7 linked regions of the Macaca mulatta genome follow. The protein of the gene in region 3 purifies or fractionates together with the protein of the main gene of each other region. This does not show direct contact. Links are inferred from orthologs where the notes say so. Each region holds a gene or a part of one and is shown on either strand. Other genes may lie near its edges.

Evidence for each region.
Region 1: the proteins of CUL4B (region 3) and HDAC2 purify together in Homo sapiens (affinity purification with western blotting; 3 studies listed by BioGRID, with this or other methods). This does not show direct contact. The link is inferred for Macaca mulatta from reciprocal best matches to the Homo sapiens genes CUL4B and HDAC2.
Region 2: the proteins of CUL4B (region 3) and COP1 purify together in Homo sapiens (affinity purification with western blotting; 4 studies listed by BioGRID and IntAct, with this or other methods). This does not show direct contact. The link is inferred for Macaca mulatta from reciprocal best matches to the Homo sapiens genes CUL4B and COP1.
Region 4: the proteins of CUL4B (region 3) and BRWD3 purify together in Homo sapiens (affinity purification with mass spectrometry; 3 studies listed by BioGRID and IntAct, with this or other methods). This does not show direct contact. The link is inferred for Macaca mulatta from reciprocal best matches to the Homo sapiens genes CUL4B and BRWD3.
Region 5: the proteins of CUL4B (region 3) and COPS4 purify together in Homo sapiens (affinity purification with mass spectrometry; 9 studies listed by BioGRID and IntAct, with this or other methods). This does not show direct contact. The link is inferred for Macaca mulatta from reciprocal best matches to the Homo sapiens genes CUL4B and COPS4.
Region 6: the proteins of CUL4B (region 3) and DCAF4L1 purify together in Homo sapiens (affinity purification with mass spectrometry; 3 studies listed by BioGRID and IntAct, counting the BioPlex papers as one, with this or other methods). This does not show direct contact. The link is inferred for Macaca mulatta from reciprocal best matches to the Homo sapiens genes CUL4B and DCAF4L1.
Region 7: the proteins of CUL4B (region 3) and DCAF4 purify together in Homo sapiens (affinity purification with mass spectrometry; 9 studies listed by BioGRID and IntAct, counting the BioPlex papers as one, with this or other methods). This does not show direct contact. The link is inferred for Macaca mulatta from reciprocal best matches to the Homo sapiens genes CUL4B and DCAF4.

What each region holds. Positions count from the first base shown.
Region 1 is NC_133409.1:19,009,492-19,012,991, forward strand, and holds the end of HDAC2 (histone deacetylase 2), read right to left. Parts: intron 2,980-3,500; coding exon 2,824-2,979; intron 1,237-2,823; coding exon 1,179-1,236; intron 567-1,178; coding exon 536-566; 3' UTR 199-535; downstream 1-198. UniProt on the Homo sapiens protein: Histone deacetylase that catalyzes the deacetylation of lysine residues on the N-terminal part of the core histones (H2A, H2B, H3 and H4).
Region 2 is NC_133406.1:33,458,892-33,462,391, reverse strand, and holds part of COP1 (E3 ubiquitin-protein ligase COP1), read left to right. Parts: intron 1-194; coding exon 195-355; intron 356-3,500. UniProt on the Homo sapiens protein: E3 ubiquitin-protein ligase that mediates ubiquitination and subsequent proteasomal degradation of target proteins.
Region 3 is NC_133426.1:126,955,898-126,959,397, forward strand, and holds part of CUL4B (cullin-4B), read right to left. Parts: intron 2,895-3,500; coding exon 2,779-2,894; intron 1-2,778.
Region 4 is NC_133426.1:86,994,507-86,997,566, forward strand, and holds part of BRWD3 (bromodomain and WD repeat-containing protein 3), read right to left. Parts: coding exon 2,616-3,060; 3' UTR 1-2,615. UniProt on the Homo sapiens protein: Plays a role in the regulation of cell morphology and cytoskeletal organization. Required in the control of cell shape.
Region 5 is NC_133410.1:50,736,338-50,740,266, forward strand, and holds the start of COPS4 (COP9 signalosome complex subunit 4), read right to left. Parts: upstream 2,801-3,929; 5' UTR 2,636-2,800; coding exon 2,562-2,635; intron 1-2,561. UniProt on the Homo sapiens protein: Component of the COP9 signalosome complex (CSN), a complex involved in various cellular and developmental processes.
Region 6 is NC_133410.1:41,230,358-41,234,576, reverse strand, and holds the start of DCAF4L1 (DDB1- and CUL4-associated factor 4-like protein 1), read right to left. Parts: upstream 2,801-4,219; 5' UTR 2,537-2,800; coding exon 1,346-2,536; 3' UTR 1-1,345.
Region 7 is NC_133412.1:146,100,366-146,103,865, reverse strand, and holds part of DCAF4 (DDB1- and CUL4-associated factor 4), read right to left. Parts: intron 2,223-3,500; coding exon 2,121-2,222; intron 1,999-2,120; coding exon 1,901-1,998; intron 522-1,900; coding exon 348-521; intron 1-347. UniProt on the Homo sapiens protein: May function as a substrate receptor for CUL4-DDB1 E3 ubiquitin-protein ligase complex.

The sequences.
Region 1 (3,500 bases), on a different chromosome or scaffold from region 3:
GGGCAAGGTGGTAGAATTTCTATTGCAAAAATAGATAATAATTACTATAAATACTCTTCCCAAAGAAACAGCAAATAAGATATCTTTCGAGCTGTAATTATTATCTTTCATCTAGAGTGTATTGTAAGTCTAAAGAAATGATGTCATTAGCCGTTGAAACAAGATTTCATATTGTAGTAATAAACAGACAAAAGACAATCCAAGTACAATTTTTTAATAAAGATAATTACAAAAGATGGAAAAATCAGCTCAGAAAGGCCAATTACTTCTTTAATAGATCAGTTTTTTTGACATAATAACATCAATTTTAAATACTATCACATAAAGCATGGTGGAGAAAAGAAATTTTGCTTCATAATTAGAAAAACTCACAATAAAACTTGCCAAGAAAAACAAAAACGAAAAAGCCATTTGAAAATAAATACAGTCCATGCCAAAGTAGTATAAAATGAAGCCAGAAGTCTTCAAAAAGAAAACATTTTCCTTTCAATATTTTCTTTTTAATGATTTTCTGAAATTGGTGAGACTGTCAAATTCAGGGGTTGCTGAGCTGTTCTGATTTGGTTCTGTTAAAAGAGGCAATGTGAAATATTAACAATGGCACAATCTCGATTTCAATGCACTGACCTACTCTATTGATCAGGTCCTGTAGGCTCATGCTAACAAACACATTAATTGATAATGTCTTAAGTGTTTCTGGATAATTAATGCCTTAATCTTTCTAGTGATTTTATAATCATTCCAAGTTATCCTGTAAAGGCTGGCACAAAATTATGTATGCTCGAACTTTTACATGCTTTCTGACAATAAAATCCTCAACTGTTTTTACTTAAAATTGTTTCTTAAACGTACCTATCTCACAACACTAAAAAAATCATGTACACAGAAATAAGAACACCATGAAAACCATTAAGTGCACATATAAAAGACAATAGCAAAAAAGGATCTCAGATAAATGATGTATAAAAATACAAACTGACTTAGTTTATATTGATAAACCAATAGGTAAGATGGCATATGTTGTCTTATGTACCAATACAAACTAAAATTCAGAGCACCTCATAATGATGTTCTAAGGTTCAGTCTAGTATTTCTGAAGTGTGTACACACACACACCAATAAACATGTTTAGCATTTTTATAGTATGTAAAAAGTACTCAATAAGGAACATCATTTACCCTTTGGTATCTGTTTTTTCACCACTGTTGTCCTTGGATTTATCTTCTTCCTTAACGTCTAAAAATAAAGATTGGGAAAAGATTAAAACCTATTTTGAAATATAAAATGTATATATATTATTTCAAAATATACTTTATTTTTAAAATATAAAAAAGTATCATGCAATCTTATTATTAATGAATTAGGGTCTAAATAAGCTTTGTGTTGGGTGTTTCCTAAACGATGGCAGTACAAGCTATGAACAGTCACTGGATTGGGGTGGGGAGGAAGAGAAAAGGTGGCCCTAACTCTAGGTTTTGACCTATAGATTTAAAAAGTGTATTTCATTTTTCTGTAGGCTGAAGAAGTTTAACAACTGCAAGGCCCTATCAGAAGAGCCCCATCACCAAATAGAGGGTTTATTTTTTAAGCACAGAAAAGATAAAGCTTTTAAAAATGAGAACACCAAAAAATAGACAAGACGACGACATAGTGAAAATGAAAGAAAAGAAAAAAAGTTAGAAAAATCCTACAGCTAAAGTCAAGTCCTTACCTCAGTCATGGCTTGAATTTTTGGATGTCAATCAGTATACAAATATAGACTGAAGCCATCATTATAATACACTGCGAAGTTAAAATTATAAAATGGTAGATAGAGAACTGTATGTAGCCTATTGAGGAGTGAATTCACAAGGAAAAGAATAGAACTAGATGTGTCAGATGTTACAAATTACGAACTCTCTAGTTAAAAAAAAAAAAAAAAAGAGCCAGCTTATTCACATAACTTCAATTTGATAGATATAGGAAAAATTGGATCAGTACCTCTAAATCAGTTTTTCACATGCTACAGGATAAAAATTAACAGGTTAACTAAAACGTGTGCTCATCACCATTACCTGCATTAGGAAATGCATCAAGCGCTGAGAATACAAGTATTTAAGATATTGTGTTCCCTAGCCATGAGCAGCTCAATCTAGCAGGGAGACAAAATCCTGTGAGGTGCTATAATATGTGTTAAATAAAATGGCAAAGGCATGTGTAAGTGTTCTGGGAAGTCAGATGAAAGGTAACAGATTCAGGTAGCAAATTCAATTGCCTAAAGCTAACACAGCGTTTTAAGGTAAGGCAATGTATCAATGTATTAACTCCTTCCTAACCCACATCCCAAATCCCCTCCTAGCTTTCCTCAGAGCTTTTAATGTTTTCTTCAATTTCTGAACAAAATCCATTATTTGACCTTTTTCAAAATGGCAAAACTAGTCTAAGGGTATGTAACTCTTCTTTGTGTTTTCTCCCATTAAATAAGCTTTAGGTAGTTAAAAATTACCTTAGAAGTTCAGTTCTGACCATGCATTACAAATAGATTCATAATTACTTTGTCCTCTTTCTTACCCAATCTCTATCACAGTACAATGTTTACTATTTTAAACCCACGTTATCAAGAAGATAAAGTTTCCTATATTATTAAAGCAAACAGGAACAATAACATTTATATAAAAGCTTTAAGAGCTAAGCACCACTTACATGTAAGAAAAAAGAGTCATCTACCTAGCATACTTCCTCCTTTGATACTTGTGAAACTGACTTTAGGATCCCATAAACATTACAATGTAGCTCAATTTTTAAAATTTACAATTAAAACAACTACCAAGAAACAAATCTGACCTGCTTTTTTGTCCTCTGTTTCTTTCTTATCTTCTTCAATTCTAGCTTTCTTTGCTCCTTTCTTATGATCAGCCACATTTCTTCGACCTCCTTCTCCTTCATCCTCAGAATCTGAGAATTCTTCATCACAAGCTATCCGCTTGTCTGATGCTCGAACTGCACAAAAGATTTTAATAAATTTTGACAAAAAGAGTCATAGGTTTTATAATCATTATAGCATACTCATACAAACGCACCAGCAGTTACCACATTTAAAGGTAAAGGATAACAGATGCCTAATGATTTTAAAATTTGAATGGAATGAATGGTTTACTTAATATTGAAAACTTTGCTTTCAAGTATGAAGAAATGGCTCGAAAACACATAATAAAAATTGGGGGAATTTCTTTTTCTTTTAAAAATGCTGAAACTCTGAAGGAAAAAAGTGTGTTTTTCTAATGGGGATAGGAATAATATCATTACTTAAAAAGTAGCATTTTATTTCAGAGCTGAGAGGTGAAGTAGACCAAAAAAAGTACCAATACCAAATATGTTAAGACAGTCTATGCCCTACATGTACCATTATGCTACAATCTAACCATCATATTAAGTGTAATGAGAAGTTGCAAAATCAAACAGATGTTTAGTTATTTGGTTCACCCTACTTCAGATAAATGAGATGTCTTATTAATTGCCAA
Region 2 (3,500 bases), on a different chromosome or scaffold from region 3:
CAGTAAAGTATAGCTTTTGTCCAAGAATCCTTTTCTTACATGATTTCTAATTAGTCCTGTAATCTAGCCTTTCAAATTTGACCATAAAAGATCTTTGAGCTAAAACTTTGGGTGATAATTACTATTAGAATGTGATGTCCTAATTCCGAGTTTTCCTATTCTAAAATATTATTATTATTATTATTTGTTTTCAGGAAGTGAGAATAACTCTCTGTACCTGTACTATAAAGGACTTTCTAAGACTTTGCTAACTTTTAAGTTTGATACAGTCAAAAGTGTTCTGGACAAAGACCGAAAAGAAGATGATACAAATGAATTTGTTAGTGCTGTGTGCTGGAGGGCACTACCAGATGGGGTAAGTTTTCATATCAGTTTTTTCACCTTGGGATCTCCTATTATGCATTATGTATACACAGGGTTTGATTAAATTTTAAAATATAAATTGGTGTGTGGTATGTACTATTTTTAAAACTTTGTAATGTGTCACCAAAGACAATAGGCATTTTAGGTAGTGATTGAAATGCACAGTAATAGAGCAATGTAATGGTGTCATCATGTCCCTCTGTGACCCATAGCATCTAGTGCATATCTCAGTTATAACGATTAAAATATTGTCTCTTCATATCTCTTCTGTAAGACTGGAAAATCCTCCAGAATACACATTCCGTCTCATCTTCTTTATTGATTATGTGCAGTATATGCTTGATAAACATTAAGCTGAGCTGGTATTTTAATAGGGAGAAAAAGAATTGGTGCAGGTAAAGGAGAGTGGCCTATATGGTGCTCTAATTAAATACTATTTCAAAGTAGAATTGCTTTCTGCAAAATACATTTATATATGAATATTTAAGCATATTTAGTATATTGATGAGAAAGTTATGCTACTAGGTTGTATGAAGAGAAGTTGCCTCAAACTTTTCACTTATGTTTTAAAGTATAAGGTTTTTCATAAGTTATATAAAAAAAAATTCTTGTTACTATCTTGATTTATATAAACATGAGTTGTTAGTATTGTATTTTTAAAATAGCTTTTTAGGTGCTTAGTTAGGTTTATTTTGACAAAATAAAATTCTGACAAAATTCTGACTTGATATGTAATTTAAAAATCCAAGTTTCAGGTATAGTTTCACTTTAATTAGATATATTCTATTGCTGTCTTAAAGTTTGCTAATTGACAGACTAGGTAATTTGGACCAACCCTTCCTCCAAGTAAAATTAGAAAAGTAGGACCAAATACATGTATTTTAAAAACAAGAACCTATTTGAAAGCATTGGAAAGCAAACAAGACAAGACACAATTACTGAATTTGGATTGTGACCCTGGCTTTTGAATCTGCTTTTCCCCTGTGAGCATTTGTCAGTTTTGGTGGGGTGGTTAAAAGCACTTACACTAGCTTCACAGGGTTGCAGGGACTGGAGCTCAGTGCCTGACATTATGTGAGTGACTACTTTTTTTTAAGTCCCCACAGGGGTATATTATAGGAGAAACCAGAAGATAAGCCTTCGTAGAGATTGCATCTGAACTTTTTATCAGTCTCTGAAATTGAATTGAGGTGACCCTTCATTGCTGATATTCACAGGATGCAAACTTAAATCCTCTCTGAAAAAAGATGAGATCATCTAAGTGCTTTATTTTTTTTCAGTTTTGTAACTACAATAACTAGGGCACAATAAAAAATAAACAGACATAGTAAAAGATAAGACAGCATGAATTAAACCAGCCTAAGCAACAGACTGTAGAAACAGTCACAGCAGCTCTAAATATTGGAGTTATCAGACAGCTTGAAAGTAGCTACGCTTATAAGATGAAAGACAAGATTGAAAATTTTAACTGAGAACTGGAAACTATTTTTAGAATGAAAATATAATTCTGCTTCTGGCCCCTTCCAAATTTCATGTCCTCACATTTCAAACCTAATCATGCCTTCTCGACAGTCTCCCAAGGTCTTAACTCATTTCAGCATTAACTCAGAAGTCCAAAGTCCAACATCTCATCTGAGACCAGCCAAGTCCCTTCTGCCTATGAGCCTGTAAAATCATCAGCAAATTAGTTAATTCCTAGATAGAAAGAGAATACAGGCATTGGGTAAATACAGCCATTCCAAATGGGAGAAATTGGCCAAAACAAAGCTACAGGCCCTATGCAAGTTCAGAATCCAATGGGGCAGTCAAATCTTCAGGTTCCAAAATGATCTCCTTTGACTCCATGTCTCACACCCAGGTCACACTGATGCAAGAGGTGGGTTCCCATAGTCTTGGACAGCTCCACCACTGTGGCTTTTCAGGGTACAGCTTCCCTCCTGGCTGCTTTCACAGGCTGGCATTGTCTGTGGCTTTTCCAGGTGAATAGTGCAAGCTTTCAGTGGATCTACCATTTTGGGGTCTGGTGGATGGTAGCCCTCTTTTCATAGCTCGCCTAGGTGGTGCCCCAGTAGGGACTCTGTGTGAGGGCTCCCACCCCACATTTCCCTTCTGTACTGCCATAGCAGAGGTTCTCCATGAGGGCCCACCCCTGCAGGAAACTTCTGCCTGGTCAGCCAGGCATTTCCATACATCCTCTGAAATCTAGGCAGAGGTTTCCAAACCTCAATTCTTGATTTCTGTGCACACGCAGGAACAACACCACATGGAAGCTGCCAAGGCTTGGGGCTCGCACCCTCTGAAACCATGGCCCTGGTTCTATGTTGGCCCCTTTTAGTCATGGCTGGAGCAGCTGGGACACAGGACACCAAGTCCCTAGTCTGCACACAGCATACGAACACTGGACCTGGCCCAGGAAACCACTTTTTCCTCCTGGGTCTCTGGGCCTGTGATGGGAGGGGCTGCTCTGAAGACCTCTGACATATCCTGGAGACTTTTTCCCCATGGTCTTGGGGATTAACATTCGGCTCCTTGTTACTTTTGCAGATTTCTGCAGCCAGCTTGAATTTCTCCCCAGAAAATGGGATTTTCTTTTCTGTTGCATTGTCAGGCTGCAAATTTTTCAAACTTTGGTGCTCCATTTCCCTTATTAAACTGAATGCCTTTAACAGCATCCAAATCACTTCTTGTATGCTTTGCTGCTTAGAAATTTCTACCAGGTACCCTAAATGATCTCTCTCAAGGACAGAGTTCCACAAATCTCTAGGGCAGGGGCAAAATGCCACCAGTCTCTTTACTAAAACATAACAAGAGTCCTTTTTGCTCCATTTCTCAGCAAGTTCCTCATCTCCATCTGAGACCACCTCAGCCTGGATTTCACGTCCATATCAGTATCAGCATTTTGGTCAAAGCCATTGAACAAGTCTCTAGGGAGTTCCAAATTTTCCCACATTTTCCGGTCTTCTGAGCCCTCTAAACTGTTCCAACCTATGCCTGTTAACCAGTTCCAAAGTCACTTCCACATTTTGGGGTATCTTCTCAGCAGCACCCCACTTCTGGTACCAATTTTCTGTATTAGTCCATTTTCACACTGCTGATAAAGATATAGTCAAGACTGGGTAATTTACAAAAGAAAGAGG
Region 3 (3,500 bases):
TATGCTCTTGAAACGAAAAGATTTAACAGAATCAATATATCAGGAAAAATATTTTCAAAGCAAAAGCTCTGGAAAAATATTCAAGGTAAAGTAAATAGGGTTCATTAACAACTACAATAAACATTTGTTATAAATATGGAATATATAAAATAACACATTATTGAAATTAAATATGCTGTATACCAGCATATCCAAATAAACACCATATACTATCCAAATAAACACCACTTATGCATGCACAGATAAAAATACTACTTCAATGATAAAGAGCTTTTTCCCTAAAGTAAAACAATTTAATTGCTTCAAACACTGCACTACAGTGGTATTCAAAGTACCAGGGTATATTAGTGAGGTAGTACAGGAGTAAAAGTGCAACGAACTAGAAATCCAGCATCTCAGTTTGAGTTGCCCCTGCTCTGCCAATATGTGACTCTGCCAATATGTGACTCTGGGCAGGTTATTCAACTTCTCTGAGACTCAGTCTCTTCATCAATAAACTGGGGATAGGCCGGGCGCGGTGGCTCACACCTGTAATCCCGGCACCTTGGGAGGTGGAGGCGGGTGGATCACTTGAGGTCAGGAGTTCGAGATCAGCCTGGCCAATATGGTAAAATCCTATCTCTACTAAAAATATACAAATTAGTAGGCCGTGGTGGCAGGTGCCTGTAATTCCAGCTACTTGGGAAGCTGAGGCAAGAGGATCACTTGAGCCCGGGAGGTAGAGGCTGCAGTGAGCCGAGATCATGCCACTGCACTCCAGCCTGAGTGACGTAGTAAGACTCCATCTCAAAAATAAATAAATAAATAAATATAAATAAAAAGTGGAGATAGTAACTACTACCCTACGTACTCCAGAAAGGGTTTTCGTAATGCTTATATGAGATAATACAAGATGAATCCCCTTTGCAGGCTGTCACAGACACCACAAAGAAAAATATTGGACCACATGCTCTCTTAAGGCCTTTCCAAGTCAGTTTCATATTTTGACTTTTATTGTTGTACATTTTAGGAGACACACATATAATATGCCAAAAGAGCCATATGAAACGGGCTTATTCTTAAGTAACAGCTTAGTACTACAACTATTAGCTGACATTTACATAGCATTACAATGTTTATAATGTTACATGGCATTATTACTATGTGTTGTGCACTGATTTGAGTATTTTGCGTGTACTGACTAATTTTCACAGCAACAGAAACCGGTGATCTCAATTGACATATTACAAGTGAAGAAGCTATACTGTGGCTTGTAAAAAAGCATGACTCGTGATATCATCATATTTGTAAGATTATAGTGCCTGGAGGTTTTTTCCACAAATATCTTATTTGATTCTTATAAGCAACCTTGTGAGATAGGTAGGGCAAATTATTATTTCCTCTACTTTAGAGAGGAGGAAATTTAAATTGAGAGGGACGGCTGGGTTTGGTGGCTCATGCCTGTAATCTCAGCACCTTGGAAGGTTGAGGTGAGAAGACTGCTGTAGCCCTGGGGTTCAAGACCAGCCTGGGCAACATAGCAAGACCCCTATCTCTTAAAAAAACAGGAAAAAAACTGAGAGGGCTTTAGTACCTGGCCCAATATTACAAGGGTCACAGCAGTCAAAACTAGATCTCAAACCCATCTTCTGACTCCTAATCCAGGATTTGCCCATCACCATACTAGCTCTGCAACTAAAATATACAAATACTGATAAATCGAACCAACATAATTTCTTACAAGGTACTCATTAATACAAAAATTCAAGCTATTGTACTCTGAAGTACTCTGAAATATCTTTCTTGAGATGGAGTTTTGCTCTGGCTGCCCAGTCTGGAATGCAATGGCGCAATCTCGGCTCACCGCAACCTCTACCTCCTGGGTTCAAGCAATTCTCCTGCCTCAGCCTCCTGGGTAGCTGGGATTACAGGCATGCACCACCACGCCTGGCTAATTTTGTATTTTTAGTAGAGACGGGGTTTCTCCATGTTGGTCGGCTGGTCTCGAACTCCTGACCTCAGGTGATCCACCAGCCTTGGTCTCCCAAAGTGCTGGGATTACAGGTGTGAGCCACCGTGCCCGGCCTGAAGTATCTTTTAACACCAAATCCCTGATACTCTAATGAAAGTAACTTCTTGAATTGGTTGTGTGTCAAATACACAGTAGGGAAAAATTTCTCGGTAGCAAGAGATTGCCATTAGTAACTGCCCTTAACATTATATTTAAGTGTAAGGACCCATTTGCTAAGTAAAGAATCTGAACCTCAGACTAAGCTGCTGGACAACAAACTGCTGCTCATTTCTGGGCTAAGGTGCGTCTTGTAGCCCAGGTATTAGAAAAATGTAAAGAGCAAGAAAAAGGAATAGCAAAGTCTACTATTAAGAAGGAGGTAAAATAAAGGATATGAATAATATCTGCATGTCTTGAGGCCTTTCCTATGGGTAGGTAACACAACTAAGAAACAATTATCACAATAGAACGACATGTCACCAGAAATCAACTTTGGGATTCATGCTATAGGATTTCATTATAGGTAGAACTTCTATTACACCAAGGTACACCTAACTGTAATTCCTCATCAGAAGGGTCAAAGATAAGCACAATTTATACCGGTATGACTGTACCCATAGTTTATGTGAGAATACGTGGTCTAATTAAAGAGTTCATCAATTAATTGAGAAACTAAAACTAGAAGGGAACCAAAAGTCTACTTAAGAACCTATTTCAGAAAGCAAAATCAATATATATCCCACCTTAATTTATGTTAATCAAATCTGGTTATGCATATTAATACATACCTGGTACAGTTCTTCTAAATTGTACTTAATTGAAGTACTATTCTGAATAGCTTCCACTGCTTCTTTCAGTTTTTGCCAGGTTTCATCTGTGTAGTTTTCTGGTAATTTAGGCTTATCTAGATGATATGTAAAAGGTTGGTATCAGAATACCATGTCAGATACAGTAACCAAAGATCAATAAAATACAACAGCATTACTCTATTTTTAGGGTAAATTATGATCTTTATAACTATCACACCTAATCATTAAAGTAACCACTGTATTTAAGCTTAATATAAAGAATAAAATTTGAAATGTCATAATACTATTTAAGTCATTTTGACTCACCTATTAAAATTGAAGGTGAGGTTTTTCTCCTATTGATTGTATTGCTTCAAAAAAATAAAAATTCAAGAATGACCATAAAAAACAACAATCCTGATCTTACTTCATCATGTGTAAAACCTAAGTCGACATGAATTTTTAACCTGAGATTTAAAATACTGCCTATGTGCAAGGTACTTTATAAACCTCTTAATCTTCCCAACAATACCCTGAGGAATCTATTTTACAACCGAGGAAACTGAGGCTGGAACTCATTTAGTAAGCTTGCCCAAGGTCATCATAGCTAGTCAATGGCAAAGCTGGGATTCTAATCCAGGTCTGTTTGACCCCCAAATTTATGCAGCATCTATAGAAATGGAAATATCTTAACTCCATGTAGTTTTAAACTACATTTATGA
Region 4 (3,060 bases), about 40 Mb from region 3:
TGTAAATTGGGGGGAAAAAAGTCCAGATATAAAAGTAAAAATACTATCTTCCAAACTTTTATTTTTCACACTTATTAAAATAATTTGCATGCAAACAGAAAATTATCTGTTTGTTTAATAAATGATAACTATGTTTATCTAACATACCCTGATGACTAACTCTTTAAATCTTAATAACTGAAATAAACATTACAGCAAAGTGCTGTTCACTAATATTTTCACAGTATTTCACTACATATAAAATATGCTTTAAAATGTCTTCAGCCTTATTATTCTAATTATCTAATTCTAGAAAATCTTGACATTTGGGAAATAAATGTGGCATTTTTATTTTTCAAAATAAATTATAAATAAAGCTCCAGATAGCCAAAATCACACAAATGTCAATTCTTCTACATTTCAAGAGGTCAGCTCTTCATAGAAGAATGTCAACAAAAAATTTCACACTAAAATGATACATGTGATCCATATTTGGGTATATCCAGGAATTTAAGTAACTATGTTACTTAGATCAGGATAGGCCAAAGTATTATTGATTTCAGGAATACAGGCACGATTTAGTCTAAATGCCCAAGAGATAAATAACTGAAACAGCACGTTTTAGGAAAAACCAAATGTAGTTTCAAATAGGAACGTTTTGAATCTCTACTATGGTTAAAAGTGGCAGCTGAGTTACAACCAGTAGTAGTTTTGGTTTAGTGAAAAAAAGACTACAACAAAAAAATAGCTTGGTCTGCTGTCTAGTAACAGAAGTTAGTGCCATTAACAATTCACAACAATACTTTCTCTTAAAGCCTGAACATCATTTCTACTGCAAGTGAAAACTGCTTAAAGATGTTAGTCCAAGAATAACCCTACTGCCGACCCTACCAAAAAAGCAAAGTTTTATGTGTGTACACCTTCCTCTGCACTTAAGGGTTTTCAGATGCATGAAATGATTGAAAGCATGAGACAAACACATTAGCTTAAGAAAAATCCTGGGATAGCTAGGTATACACTAAGAAGTCTGTTTTATCCCATGAGCCTGATCTAAGTGCAACAAATTTGCTGTTACAGAAACATAAATTGATATTATCCCTCTTACCTCAGAAATGTAAGTATCTAACAAATCAACAAATCTGTAATATTAAATTTGGGGACTAAAATTGACCTTGAAACTCAAGCTCACTTATGGAACCATGTGCACTCTACTGCTGTAAACAAGACAATAAGGGTTTTTAAAGATGCTTTTTATCTATAAAATAATGATTCACAACATCAGTGTGCAGTGCAATAAGGTTCTTTCCTGAAAGACTAGAACAGAAGAACCCTTTGGAATGATATGAGCAGAATCTGTAAGTTGATTCATAATACTAGCTAGCCAAAACATTCCAACTCAAACTAGGTGCTTTGTTAAATTTTAAGATTCAAATGAAAACCAGTAACTCACAGCTGTTAAATGGTAAGTGGAGCAGAAATATATGAGCAGTAGCCCAAGTCTACTTACACAAATATGTTCATGTTCTAAGAAAGTCTAAGGTAGAGCATACTATACTTATGAAAGTTTGTTAATTACAATTATTAATTTGAGAGCCAATACAATTATTAACAACCTCTCAGCTTATAACTTATGGGTATTCATTCCTACTAAGCTTGTTCTATTTCTCCTTAGTCAGTAAGGAATAACAGCATCTATTTTCCTTAATGTTTCCAGTAGTTGTAGTTAAGAGGTAGCTGAGCTACTGTTCAAAGAAGTTGTTCTTTGTGGATGAGGATTTTTCAAATGTTTAAGTTATTTAAGCTACACAAATTCTATTAATGCAATAAAATGTGATAGGAAAAAAAATTGATGCAGGAAACTTTTGCATTTGGCACCTTGTCTAGATTGATACCTCAAGTATTCTTTTTTAATAAAGTTAATGCACACATCAGAACACACCACGAAGATCTGCTACATATTTACAAGGCACCAACCCTTTCTCACCTTTAACGTGAATTATGCAAATCAATGAAAAGCATATCAAGATCCCCCCACCCCCCAAAAAACTGTAGTATAAATATATACTTCAGTTCAGTACAAGTCATGAAAGTTTGGCCTGGGAAGAGTAAAATAATCCAGATCGCTCTTACAATATAGAAACTGTAAACATTTAATAGCTGCCTTTAGGATTGGTGTATTGTGCAAAAGTTATTATTACTGGGTATAGGAATCAAAATGGCAAAAACAAACTATATAAAACTCTGTAAGAAGGTGCTATACTTCTGTGATACAAAAGCAAAAGAGGGCTATTCTATTGAGATAAAAATGTCATGCTACTCTTAAGAAGCTGAATGCTCCTTTAATGTAGTAAATCTGTAGTGTGTCTGTGTTGTGTTTCGTGTGTGTGTGTGTGTTTGTGTGTGTGTGTGTGTGGGCAGAATTTCTTTTAATTTAAGGCCTAATGAGTAAGGCTTATTTGAACAAATGAAGTGTGGAGATCAAAAGTCTTGAAACAAATGTATACTGGCATAAATGGAAAAGCACCAATGTGAAAGGAAGCAGAAGTCCCCACACAACTTGCTTTGTAGATTTCCTGGTAAATTCCCTGCAGTAGAAGGCCATTGAATTTTTTAAGTTATTCTAAATTTATTAACTGTTAATAATTCCATCCCATGAGATGGCTAACCCTGGCTTTTTCTGTCATTTTACGCACTCTGCCTGATCTGGATGTACCAAGATTCAGAGGATCCTCAGTGGACACAAAATTGTCATTATCAGAATCATCATTATATAAAACAGTCCTCCTGCCTTGGTTTCTTGTTTTAATTCGAGGCAGTCTACTGAAACGTCCTGAAAACATGGTATCAAATTCATCATCTGCAATACGTGCTCGTTTGGCTCTGGTAGCTCCTCTAGAAGCACCTCTTCCTCCTCTCCCTCTTCCCCTCCCCCTAGTGCCACCTCCACCTCTTCCTCTACTCCCTCGTCCCCTGCCTCCTCTTCCTCTGCCTCCTCTACTCCATCTACCCCATCTTCCCCATCTGCCTCTTCCTCCTGTGCCTCTGGTCTTCCAATTTCTTTTTCCATTGCCATGTTGCTTT
Region 5 (3,929 bases), on a different chromosome or scaffold from region 3:
CATTTCTAATTGAGTTTTTAACAAGAAAACGAGCATAGTCTGGTAGGTTTAAAATGAGCTTTTTAGAGTGATGAACCTGGGTTCAAATACAAGCTCTGCCCCTTTCTAGCTATTCATTAATTCAACCACATGTATTGAGCAACTGTTGTTATAGATATCCCAATTGCTGGGAACACACAGTATTGATGTTTTAGAAACAATGTACTCCATTATTCTTTAATATGGAATCCTTTGTTTCTCAGCTCCTAAAAAATCCCCAAAAACCTTCATTAAAAGTACATACAAGAAAAAATACATTAAAAAAAAAACTGATATATTTCAAGGGTACTTCTCTTAAAGCATGTAGCTGGTAAAACTGATGTTGTTATAAGGATAAATATCCTGATACTTTCTTGCTCAGATAGGAACTGCAAGCAAGCCCAAGACTTTTCTCAGAAAGCAGCTCTGAAGGAGTTGCTGGCTAACACAGCACTGGCTATCAGTTATCAAGCACATTATTTCATTTAATCTTCACAACACCATGTGGTAGATTGCTACAGTAATGGCTTCCAATGAATCATGTCTCCCTCTGTCCAGGCTCCTTTGCAATGTAACTTTGCCACTAAAGAGGCAGTAGTAGGCTCCATTTCCCCTCCCCTTGAATCTGGGCTGGTCTTCTGATTTACTTTTACCAGTACTAGAGAATTGATATGAGACTTTCTAGGCTATCCTTAAGAGGTCTTGTGACTTCCCCTCTCATAGCCACCTAAGAAAGCCCAAGCTAAACTAATGAATGAGAGACTATGTGCACAGAGAGACAGATCCTGCCAAGAGCAAGATATGCATGTGAGTCCAGCCCCAGGTGAGTTGCCAGCTGACTATATCTGCATGAGTAAGCCCAGACAAGACCAGAAGAGCTGTCCAGTCAATCCATAGAATCCTGAGAAATCACAGTTGTTTTACACTGGTAAGTTTTTGGTTACAAAGCAACAGATAACTGAAGTACCCTATAAATACTATTGTTTATCTCCAATTCAGACCTGAAAAAGTAAATACTTAAGTTTCAGAACTCTCCAAATACATGAAAAGCTCTATTTCTTCTGATAACTAATGCACTTATTTTTCTTTTACAAAATAAAAAGTAAAGGAAGCATGGGGGAAAAAATATAAGCTGCTTTTACTTTCATCCATATCTACAAAATTACAAGCAAAAAGGATTAAACCATGAAGACATATTTATTTCCAACCCATACAATAAGTGAATATATATTACTGACAGCTTAGTGATAGTAACAACAATCTTGTGGCACTTTCTATATGTCAGGTACTGTTCTAGGTGATATAAGTGTGGTAAGTATATATGCACACAGATACTCATCTTGTCTTCAGATAATCTCAGACAAGAATATGTCCTATTATCATCTTCATTTTCCTAAATGGGAAAATGCAGCACAAAGTAGTTACGCCCAAAATATACGGCTGAATTTCCCACTGATAAAAGTAGATTACATTTACCACCAGAGAAAAGGCAGCCTAGCCTACTTAAAACAGTCAGAATTTCGATGACCAGGTTAGAGCAGGTGTATCCCATTAACATACATAAAGTGATTTCAGCTGTCAGGATGTAAACATTAAGATCAACTTGAGAGGCATACTTTATTTACTTATTTATTTATGGAGACGGGGGTCTCACTATGTTGCCCAGGCTAGTCTAGAACTCCTGGCCTCAAGTGATCCTCCCACCTCAGCCTCTCTGCACCCGGCCTAGAGAGGCATACTTTAAGTTCATTACAAAAGATCAGTGCTGTGACATCTACAAAGAGAAAATGAACAATATACGTCTACCTACCTATGCTTAATACTGTTGAACAACTGCTTGCACAACAGGCACGTCACACATTTTAACTTGGAGTGAACCTAAGCATTCTATATGAATTTCGACAAAATTCAGATTCCTGCAAACATCACTACTCTAGACATCCTGATCCGCGATATGAGCACATTCCGCCTATGTGCCTTCAGAGTTGGTGGTGGAGAAAATACCCGAAACACAAGGACCCACAGAAGACAGTCTGAGTGGTCTGGACGACATGACAGCGGCCATACCTCCTCAGTCTCAGCCAGCCCCAAGAAGCCATCTCCCCGAAAAACACACCATCAAGGCCCCAGAATATACATTTCTCTGAATCAAAAAAAGGAGGAGGAAGGTCCAACGAGAGGCCAGATTCGGTGTGAGGCCGGCCAGCGATAGGAAGAGGTACCAGGGAAGGCTACTAAGGCCAGGGTAGCAGTCATCTGTCAGACCGCTCTTCCAAAATCCTAAGGGACCAGAGGGATTCTATCAATAACTGAACAAGTTGACAGTCATCCCAAGTCTATGGCCTCGAAGGCCCCTGCACAAGGTCCCCTCCAGCTCTCTGCTTCTCCCAACATTTGCCTCCCTAGCCGACCTCAGGCCCGCCCCCTTGGTCGTCAGGCCGGTTCCTAGCTTCACGCCCAAGAGTCGTGGCCAACCTAAGGAGATTAAGGCTGTGGCTTTCTTTCCCCACCTCTGTACTCCCGCGTTGCTGGGAAATACTCACTTGCCAGCCAGATCTTTATGAGAGCCGCTCGAATTCATGAGCTGGGCCAAATCCTGTCGCACGGCTGCCGCCATCTTTCTCCCAGCTCAGCGGTGGATGCGGGGCCTCTGGCAGCCAAAAAGAAAACGAGTGTGGTCCTCCAGAGTGCAGCCAGAGGGAACCTGAGATGCTACAGAGTAGCGTCTGTGTGGGCCAGAGCGTCGGGTGTGGGAGCCTGGGCTAGCTCCGCCCTCAGGGTTGAGTGATGCGGGGCTCCACTCCTCAGGTCTGAGGCCTGCCCAGCCCTCTCCTACAGGCTCTGGCTCTCACGCTCGGACTTTGGATTGGCTGATGAACTCCAGGAGTGAGTCTCTAGTGTAACTCCAATAAGTACCCGGTACATAAAACGACTGCGTTTTCGCAAAGTTCCATGTCTCATGTCTGTGGTTTACCGTCCTTAGGTCTTTCAGGCAGCGCTTAAACTGCCTGTGGTAAAGAACGAGTTTTGTTTCTGATTCACCACAGACGATACTTTTTAGAAATACAATTAAAAAGTCCCCATTCCTCCTCCCACTCCATGCACTTTATAAAGGTTGATCAGATATTCCAGTTTGTCCAGTACAAAGCCATTTTCCCTCTGTCGTCCTGGAGTAGTGATTAATAACATCCCCCCTTGCGGCCGGGCGCGGTGGCTCACGCCTGTAATCCCAGCACTTTGGGAGGCCGAGGCGGGCGGATCACGAGGTCAGGAGATCGAGACCATCCTGGCTAAACACGGTGAAACCCCGTCTACTAAAAATACAAAAAAATTAGCTGGGCGTAGGTGGTGCACGCCTGTAGCCCCAGCTACTCGGGAGGCTGAGGCTGTAGAATGGCGTAAAACCCGGGAGGCGGAACTTGCAGTGACCGGAGATTGCGCCACTGCGCTCCTGCCTGGGCGATAGAGCAAGACTCCGTCTCTAAATAAATAAATTAATTAATTAATTAAAATAACATCCCCCCTTTCATTCTACAAACGGTTGCATTTCAATGGAAGATTATATGGTCGCCTGCGTTTATGTGATATTCAATACTCATGTATTCTTATGGAATTTCTGCAAATACAAGCAAATATTAATAAATATAAAATTTTACCTCTCCTTTCACAAAAAGTAACACCACATAATTGTTCTGCTTTGTTTTTTGTTGTTGTTGTTGTTGTTGTTTTGTTTTTTTTGTTTTTGTTTTTTTTTTTGCACTTTTCCTGGTACTATGGTTTGAAATAATTGTCTTCTCCAAAACGCAAGTTGAGGGCTGGGTGCCGTGGCTCACGTCTGTAATCCCAGCACTTTGGGAGGCCGAGGCGGACGGATCATCAGAGGTTGGGAGTTCGAGACCAGCCTGAACAAC
Region 6 (4,219 bases), on a different chromosome or scaffold from region 3:
TCTGATCATTTCTACTTCTCACATGCAGGTCCAAGGCATCACTGTCCCTTGCCTGACTAACTACAATAGTGTCCTAATTGCTTTCTTATTTTTATTTAAGAATAGCATATATACAGTAAACTATAAAAATGTGAAGCATATAGCTATATGAATTATGTATTTATCAAGTGTCAAGATAAAGAAAACTCAGCATTCCTAAAGCTTCCCCATGTCACTTCTCAAGCATCCTAAAAAGAAAAAGAAAAAAAAAAATCCTTTCTTTCTACAGAGGTATCTACTATTCTACCGTTAATCACCATAGACAAGTTTTTACTGCTTTTGAACTTCAGAATTGAACCATACAGTTTGTACTCATTTCTACCTAATTTCAATCACCATGTTGAGATTGGTCCATACTGTTTCACATAGCAAGTGTGCCTTATTTTCTATTATTATGCAGTATCCAATTGTATGATTATAGCACGAGTTTTAGCATTTTGGAAATTCAGATAATTTCCAGGCTTCGGCTATTAAGAAATAGCAACTAACATTATTACATTTTTTTTTCTTCCTTGCTTGGTAGAAAAACAGGCTCTTTAACATTTTTAATAAACCTCTCACAAACTGCTGCTCCTAGATTACAAAAAGTCAAAGCCAATTCCTTGAATCTGAACTTCAAGTCACCATAATAGAAACCGGAGCTGCTGCACCTTACATTCTGAAAGGTACTTCAACAAAAGCACATTAAAGACTGTTTAAAACTTCTCGTATTTAAGAAGATCCCTCTTTCCTTCCAATGCCTATGGATAATAATAAAACGAGAATCTTAAGGGATCTGCTATTGAGTTTGAGAAATTTAATGATTCCAAACTGCAGCCTTAAATATTTCTGTAGAGACTCCGAGAAATTACCTCTCCCTTGTCTCCACTCCCACTGGCTTCCTCAAGCACAGATGCCTGGGACCCTTTGTGACTAGTCAGTCTTACTAGTACCATCATTATGCTTCTCTAAAGGGCTACTAGTGAAAGAAGCTGCTTTAATTTATTTTAGTTTTTGCCAATCTTCAGTCCTTAGAAAAGTCTTACAAAAAAAAAAAGGGTGGGGGAGATGGTTAACTGTTCTAAGGCATTCAACAAGAGGAAATAGGTATCTTTTATGAAAAGGACTTTCAAGTTAAGTCCAGTTTAACTGAAATAACTTTACGGAAAAGTCTCCACATAAAACTCTTAACACCTTACCCCTGGCAGCCGGATAGATGGGATCTATATATATCACGTCTCTTAAACTGCTCTCACAGAAACGGTAGTAAGATACTCTTAACTTCCTTAAGTCAAATCCACATTCGGCCGCGCTGCAATCTGCGGAATTAGCTGAAGGGGAAACAATAAAGGTCCTGCCGGACAGCCATGAGCAGCCCTGGTGCTGCTCCCCGGATGCCCCCGAGCCGAGAAGCGAAGGCCACGCTGGGAATGTCGTCCTCGGAGGCAGAATACGGGGAAGGGATGGTTCTGAGCAGGTGGGCATCATGGAGGCTCCAGATTCTCGTGTAGCAGTCCTGGCCCACTGCCACCACGATTCCCTCTTCCTCGTGCACATGCAGGGGCAGATAGGCGGACTCATTCACGTGACCTTCGTACTGCCTTAAACATTTAGTGGCCCTCAGATCCCACAGCTTGATCTTTCCAGTCATGTCTGACGCCATCAGGCATTGCTCTTCTTGGAGGATTTGCACAGAGGTCACTGCAGAGTCATGGAACAGGCGAGTGGCCCTCCACCCCTTGCCTCGATTTCTACAGCGCAGATCAATGGCAAAGATCTCCCCGGAGCGACAGCCATTAAACAGCAAAGGAGCCGTACTAGCAAATTGCTGGGCCAAGACATCACTGCTGGCACCAAACGACTGCTGGTGTCCCGTCGCCACGTTGGTCAACAGGACCTGCTGAGACAAGCCTGCACTAAAGCAGTGATATGCCCGGGTGTTGAGGGACCAGGCACAGGACCAGGCCTCAGGGATCTGGAAACTGCAGAGCATGCCAGGCTGGTTTACTCTTGTGTGAACACTTAAGAATCGCGACGCTGGGAGCAGCACCGCACAGCTTGGAGCATCTGTAATTCCCTCGAAGCACAGCAGAATGTGAGAGTCCAACTGGTTCAGCGAGGCCCAGCACAGGGACTTCACCTTCCGGTTGGGGACGTAGAGGTTTCTGAGCACGTACACGTGGAATGAAGGGATCTTCAGAGTTCGCAGGCTGATAATGCCGTACTTGGAGCCTTCGACTTCGACCTGGTTCACTACGAAGAGCTGGTCGCTGTTGGTACTCGCCAGAATGAAGTTAAATCGGTCGGTCGCCAAAGAGGAGGGATCCAAGCTCCGAATCTGGACTTTTTTTCTCTCCATGCAGCTCACACGCAGCTCGTTGGCTAAACGGGAGTAACTGGTGACGTTGAGGAAACCTAGCTGGCTTTTTCGGAGCATAGAAGATGCATTAAATCCCATTCTGGCTACCTTTTTCTGCTTGGCCTCCTCCTCGAGGAGTCGCAGCCTTTCCGCCTCCATTTCCTCCTGCGGACTGTTGCTCGTGACAGGAAATTCTTCAGGATGTTCTTTTCCGTGACAGGAAGTTCCGTCCGGGCGCGAACGGAAGTGTTGCTAATTTTTATCTCTGTATTCTGGGAGCAAGTCCTTTGTTGCAGATGTGTATTACAAGTCTCTTTTCCTACTCTGTGGGTTGTCATATTCTCTCAGTGGCGTCTTGACGAAAGTTCTTGATGTTAAATTTTTTCCTTTCTCTTTTTGAGACAGGGTCTTGCTCTTTCACCCAGGCTGGAGTCCAGTGGCCCGACCACGACTCACTGCAGCCTGGAACTCCTGGGCTCAAGTGATTCTCCTACTTCTGCCCTACCTAGCTGGGACTATGGGCTCGAGACACCACGCCCGGCTAATTTTTTTGTAAAGATGGGGTCTCCCTGCGTTGCTGATGCTGGTCTGAAACTCGAGCTCGAGCAGCCTGTCCGCCTCAGCCTCCCAAAGTGCTGGAATTACAAGCATGAGCCCACCGCGCCTTGCCTGTATTTCTTAATTTTTTATTTTTTATTTTGAGATGGAGTCTCGCTGTGTCACCCAGGCTGGAGTACAGTGGCGCGATCTCGGCTCACTGCAAGTTCCGCCTCTCGCGTTTCACGCCATTCTCCTGCCTCAGCCTCCCAAGTGGCTGGGACTACAGGTGCCCGCCACCATGCCTGGTTAATGTGTATATTTTTAGTAGAGACAGGGTTTCACCATGTAGGTAGGATGGTCTCAATCTCCTGACCTCGTGATCCGCCCGCCTCAGCCTCCTAAAGTGCTGGGATTACAGGCTGAGCCACCGCGCCCGGCCGCCTGTATTTTTAAAATACAGTTAGAGACCAGAGGGGGCGGCTTGGTGAAACTTTGTCTCTGAAAAAGTACAAAAATTAGACCGGGCGCAGTGGCTCACGCCTGTAATCTCAGCACTTTGGGAGGCCGAGGCAGGTGGATCACGAGGTCAGGAGATCAAGACCATCCTGGCTAACACGGTGAAATCCCGTCTCCACTAAAAATACAAAAAATTAGGGGGGACTGGTGGCGGGCGCCTGTAGTCCCAGCTACTCGGGAGGCTGAGGCAGGAGAATGGCGTGAACCCGGGAGGCGGAGCTTGCAGTGAGCCGAGATTGTGCCACTGCATTCCAGCCTGGGCAACAGAGCGAGACTCTGTCTCAAAAAATAAATAAATAATTATACAAAAATTAGCGGGGCATGGTGCACACCTGTAGACCCAGCTACTCAGGAGACGGGAGGGAAAATCACCTGAGCCCAGAAGGTTGAGGCTGCAGTGATCACCCCACTGCACTCCAGCGAAGCCAGGAGACAGAATAAGACCCTGTCTCAAAAAGAAAGAAAAATAAGTAAATAAATTATGGATTTGTCCAAACTGTCAATTTGTTTCATTAATGGTATCTTTCGTGTTCTGTTCAGGACATTTGTACCTATTACATGATACTAGTAAAGTTTTGGGGACTTCCAAGAGGAGACTGATAGCTCCAGTCCCCATCTGGATGTTTCCTCTGCCACAAAGCTTGCTGACTGTCCCTAGGCTATGAATTTCCAGGAATTTTGGAGGACTGGGGAGAGTTGGTAGGGACTACAGAGAAATCCGGTGATATCTGGACTATGGATCCTGTCGGAATCTACAGGCCACAGAGCTGGGATCTCAGAGAGCAC
Region 7 (3,500 bases), on a different chromosome or scaffold from region 3:
GAGGCTGAGGCAGGAGAATCGCTTGAACCTGAGATGGAGGTTGCAGTGAGCCGAGATTGCACCATTGCACTCCAGCCTGGGCAACACAGCAAGACTTCGTCGCAAAAAAAAAAAAAAAAAAAAAAAAAGGTACACAACCAAAGAATCCTTTTCACTTTTGTTCACATCAGATTAGGCTCATATGGGCAACAAAGCAGTCCCCAGGCAGGGCCAACAAATCACTTGGTCTTCAGTGAACTTCCCCTGCCTGGGGTCTCGGTATGAGGACCTCTTCAGCAGAACCCTTTCACCTGGCAGGTCTCTGGGCCACGAGACCCTGTGGCCTGAGAAAGTTCATGATCCCCTACCTTTCCAGCCATGTCTGATGCCATCAGGTATTGCTCATCTTGGAGGATCCGCACAGAGGTCACTGCTGAGTCATGAAACAGGCGGGTGGCCTTCCATCCCTTGCCTTGATTTCCACAACGCAGATCAATGGCAAAGATTTCCCCAGAGCGGCAGCCATTAAACAGCAGAGGAACCTGTGGAAAGAGGGCCTGCTCGGTCCTGGCTACCATGACCTCCCTCTGAGGCTGGGCGGGGCAGGTCCTCCTGCTATAACCCCTCTTCTAGCCTCTGGGTCGGATGGTGTGATCAGACACGTGCTGGTCAGGGTTTGGGTCTCAATGGAGTTGGAAGGGAGGATGATTCCTTGTTAGTGGCTAGAAGAACCAGACCCCACGTGTCCTCCTCATGGGCAGCACAGAGGTCCTAGGAGCTGCCTGCTCCCCGCCCCCCCACGCACTGCCCCCTTTGGCCTTTCTCTCTGAAGTCCCAGAGATAGCACCCCATCTCTACCAAAGGTGGGTCAGCAGGTTCATTCACTTTTAAGGAAAGATGGTATTTTCTAGAGAAAAGTCCTTAAAATATAGTTATGACCACTTTTTTTTGAGACAGAGCCTTGCCCTGTCGCCCAGGCTAGAGTGCAGTGGTGCCATCTTGGCTCACTGCAACCTCCGCCTCCCGGGTTCAGGTGATTCTCCTGCCTCAGCCTCCTGAGCAGCTGGGATTACAGGCGCCTGGCACCACACCCAGCTAATTTTTGTATTTTTAGTAGAGAAGAGGTTTCACTATCTCGGCTAGGCTGGTTTCAAACTCCTGACCTCGTGATCTACCCATCTCGGCCTCCCAAAGTGCTGGGATTACAGCCATGAGCCACTGCACCTGGCCTGATTTTTTTTTTTTTTTTAAACTGACTTGAATTTATCAAGCTTAAATTCTTTTTTTTTTTTTTGAGACGGAGTCTCACTCTGTCGCCCAGGCTGGAGTGCAGTGGTGCGATATCGGCTCACTGCAAGCTCTGCCTCCCGGGTTCACGCCATTCTCCTGTCTCAGCCTGCCGTGTAGGTGGGACTACAGGCGCCTGCCACCACACCTGGCTAATTTTTGTATTTTTAGTAGAGATGGGGTTTCACTGTGTTAGCCAGGATGGTCTCGATCTCCTGACCTCGTGATCCATCCGTCTCGGCCTCCCAAAGTGCTGGGATTACAGGCGTGAGCCACCGTGCCCGGCCCTGATTTTTTAAATATATAAAACATATAACCTGAGAGCTGTGAAGAATTGGTGTTTAGCTTATACATTTTAAAGATGGTTTGTCCTGCTGGGTAACTCCAAGTACCCAAGAACTGCTCACAATTCCTTTCCATGAGAGGTTGTTTAGAGCAACTCAGGCAAGCCTTTCTGGATCAACCAACTTTCACTCAGTTCAGACACGCTTACAAAGGAACCCACTGAGCCTTTCTGATGCTCTTTCTCCCCTGTCAAAGACGACTAGATGGCACACAGAGGAGTCCAATTTCAATCTGGCCAAATTTCTGCACGGGGCAAACTTTATATTCTGCCTGTCCCAATCCAACTAACCATGAGAGCAAACTGCTGGGCCAAGACATCACTGTTGGTCCCAAAGGACTGCCGGTGTCCCGTCACCACGTTGGTCAACAGGACCCGCCGAGACAAGCCTGGCGGAGACAGAGATAGGCTGGTGAGATTATGTCACATGTAGTCTGGGGAGAGGGACAGCTACAGGGGTTTTAAGGTCTGTTAAGGCCTCTTCTCTGGGCACCTGGGGAGCCAGGCTCACCTGTACTGAAGCAGTTATTTGCTTGGATATTCAGGGACCAGGCACAGGACCAGGCACCAGGGATCCGGAAACTGCAGAGCATGCCAGGCCGGTCTATTCCTGCTAAGGGGATAGGAGAATGTAAATTGTGGCTGCCCTCTAGCCAGGCCAGGGACCACTGGGTTCAGAAAACATCCAAATATGCCCATAGCTGCTCAGAGGGTCTATACCTTTGGCCCCATTCTGGGTTTTGTGGTTGCAAGAGAGAGGCTCAGCTGGGATGCCTGGCTCACAAGTGGTTATTCTGAAAATGCATGTATGTTAACATTCCCAGTAGTCACGTTTATAGTACTGATATCAAGGAGGTAGTGTACTGTCAGAGGTAAGGTGGCTCCGATCCTCGATCACCTACCAGCTATGTGATCTCAGGCAAGTGTGTGTGTATATAGATACGCACACACAGACACACACACATAAAGATATATATAGATATACGTATCTTTAAGACAGGGTCTTGTTCTTTTGCCCAGTCTGGAGTGCAGTGGCATGATCATGGCTCAATGCATCCTCAACTTCCCAGGCTCAAGAAATCCTCCCATCTCAGCCTCCCAAGTAGCTGGGACCACAGGTGTGAGTCACCACACATGGCTTATTATTTATTTTTTGTAGAGATTGGAGTCTTGCTATGTTGCTCAGGCTGGTCTCGAACTCCTGGGCTCAAATGATTATTCTGCCTTGGCCTCCCAAAGTGTTGGGATTACAGGCATGAGTCACCATGCTTTGATAAAATATTTTTTAAAATAAACTTTTGCATTGATAGAACGTACACACTGGAAGGATACAGTTCAGGGAGTTATTACAAACTAAATATAGCCACGTACCCGCCAATCAGGTTGAGAAACAAAACAATCCAGGCCGGGCGCGGTGGCTCACGCCTGTAATCCCAGCACTTTGGCAGGCCAAGGCGGGTGGATCACCTGAGGTCAGGAGTTCGAGACCAGCCTCAACAACATGGAGAAATCCCATCTCTACTAAAAGTACAAAAATAGCCAGGTGTGGTAGAACATGCCTGTAATCCCATCTACTCGGGAGACTGAGGCAGGAGAATCGCTTGAATCCCAGAGACGAAGGTTGCGGTGACCTGAGATCACGTCACTGTACTCCAGCCTGGGCAACAAAACTCCGTCTCAAAAACAAACAAACAAACAAAGAAAAAAGAAAAGACATAAAACAATCCAGTACCCCAGAGGCCTCCCTCACATCCCTTTCCCAATTACTACCTCTCCAAAGGGTACTGTGAGCCTGACCTCCAACACTAAAAATTACTTTTGTAAGGCAAATTCTGAAACTCTCTGCCTCAGTTTCCTTAACCGTAAAATGGTGGTAAGACACACTCCTGCC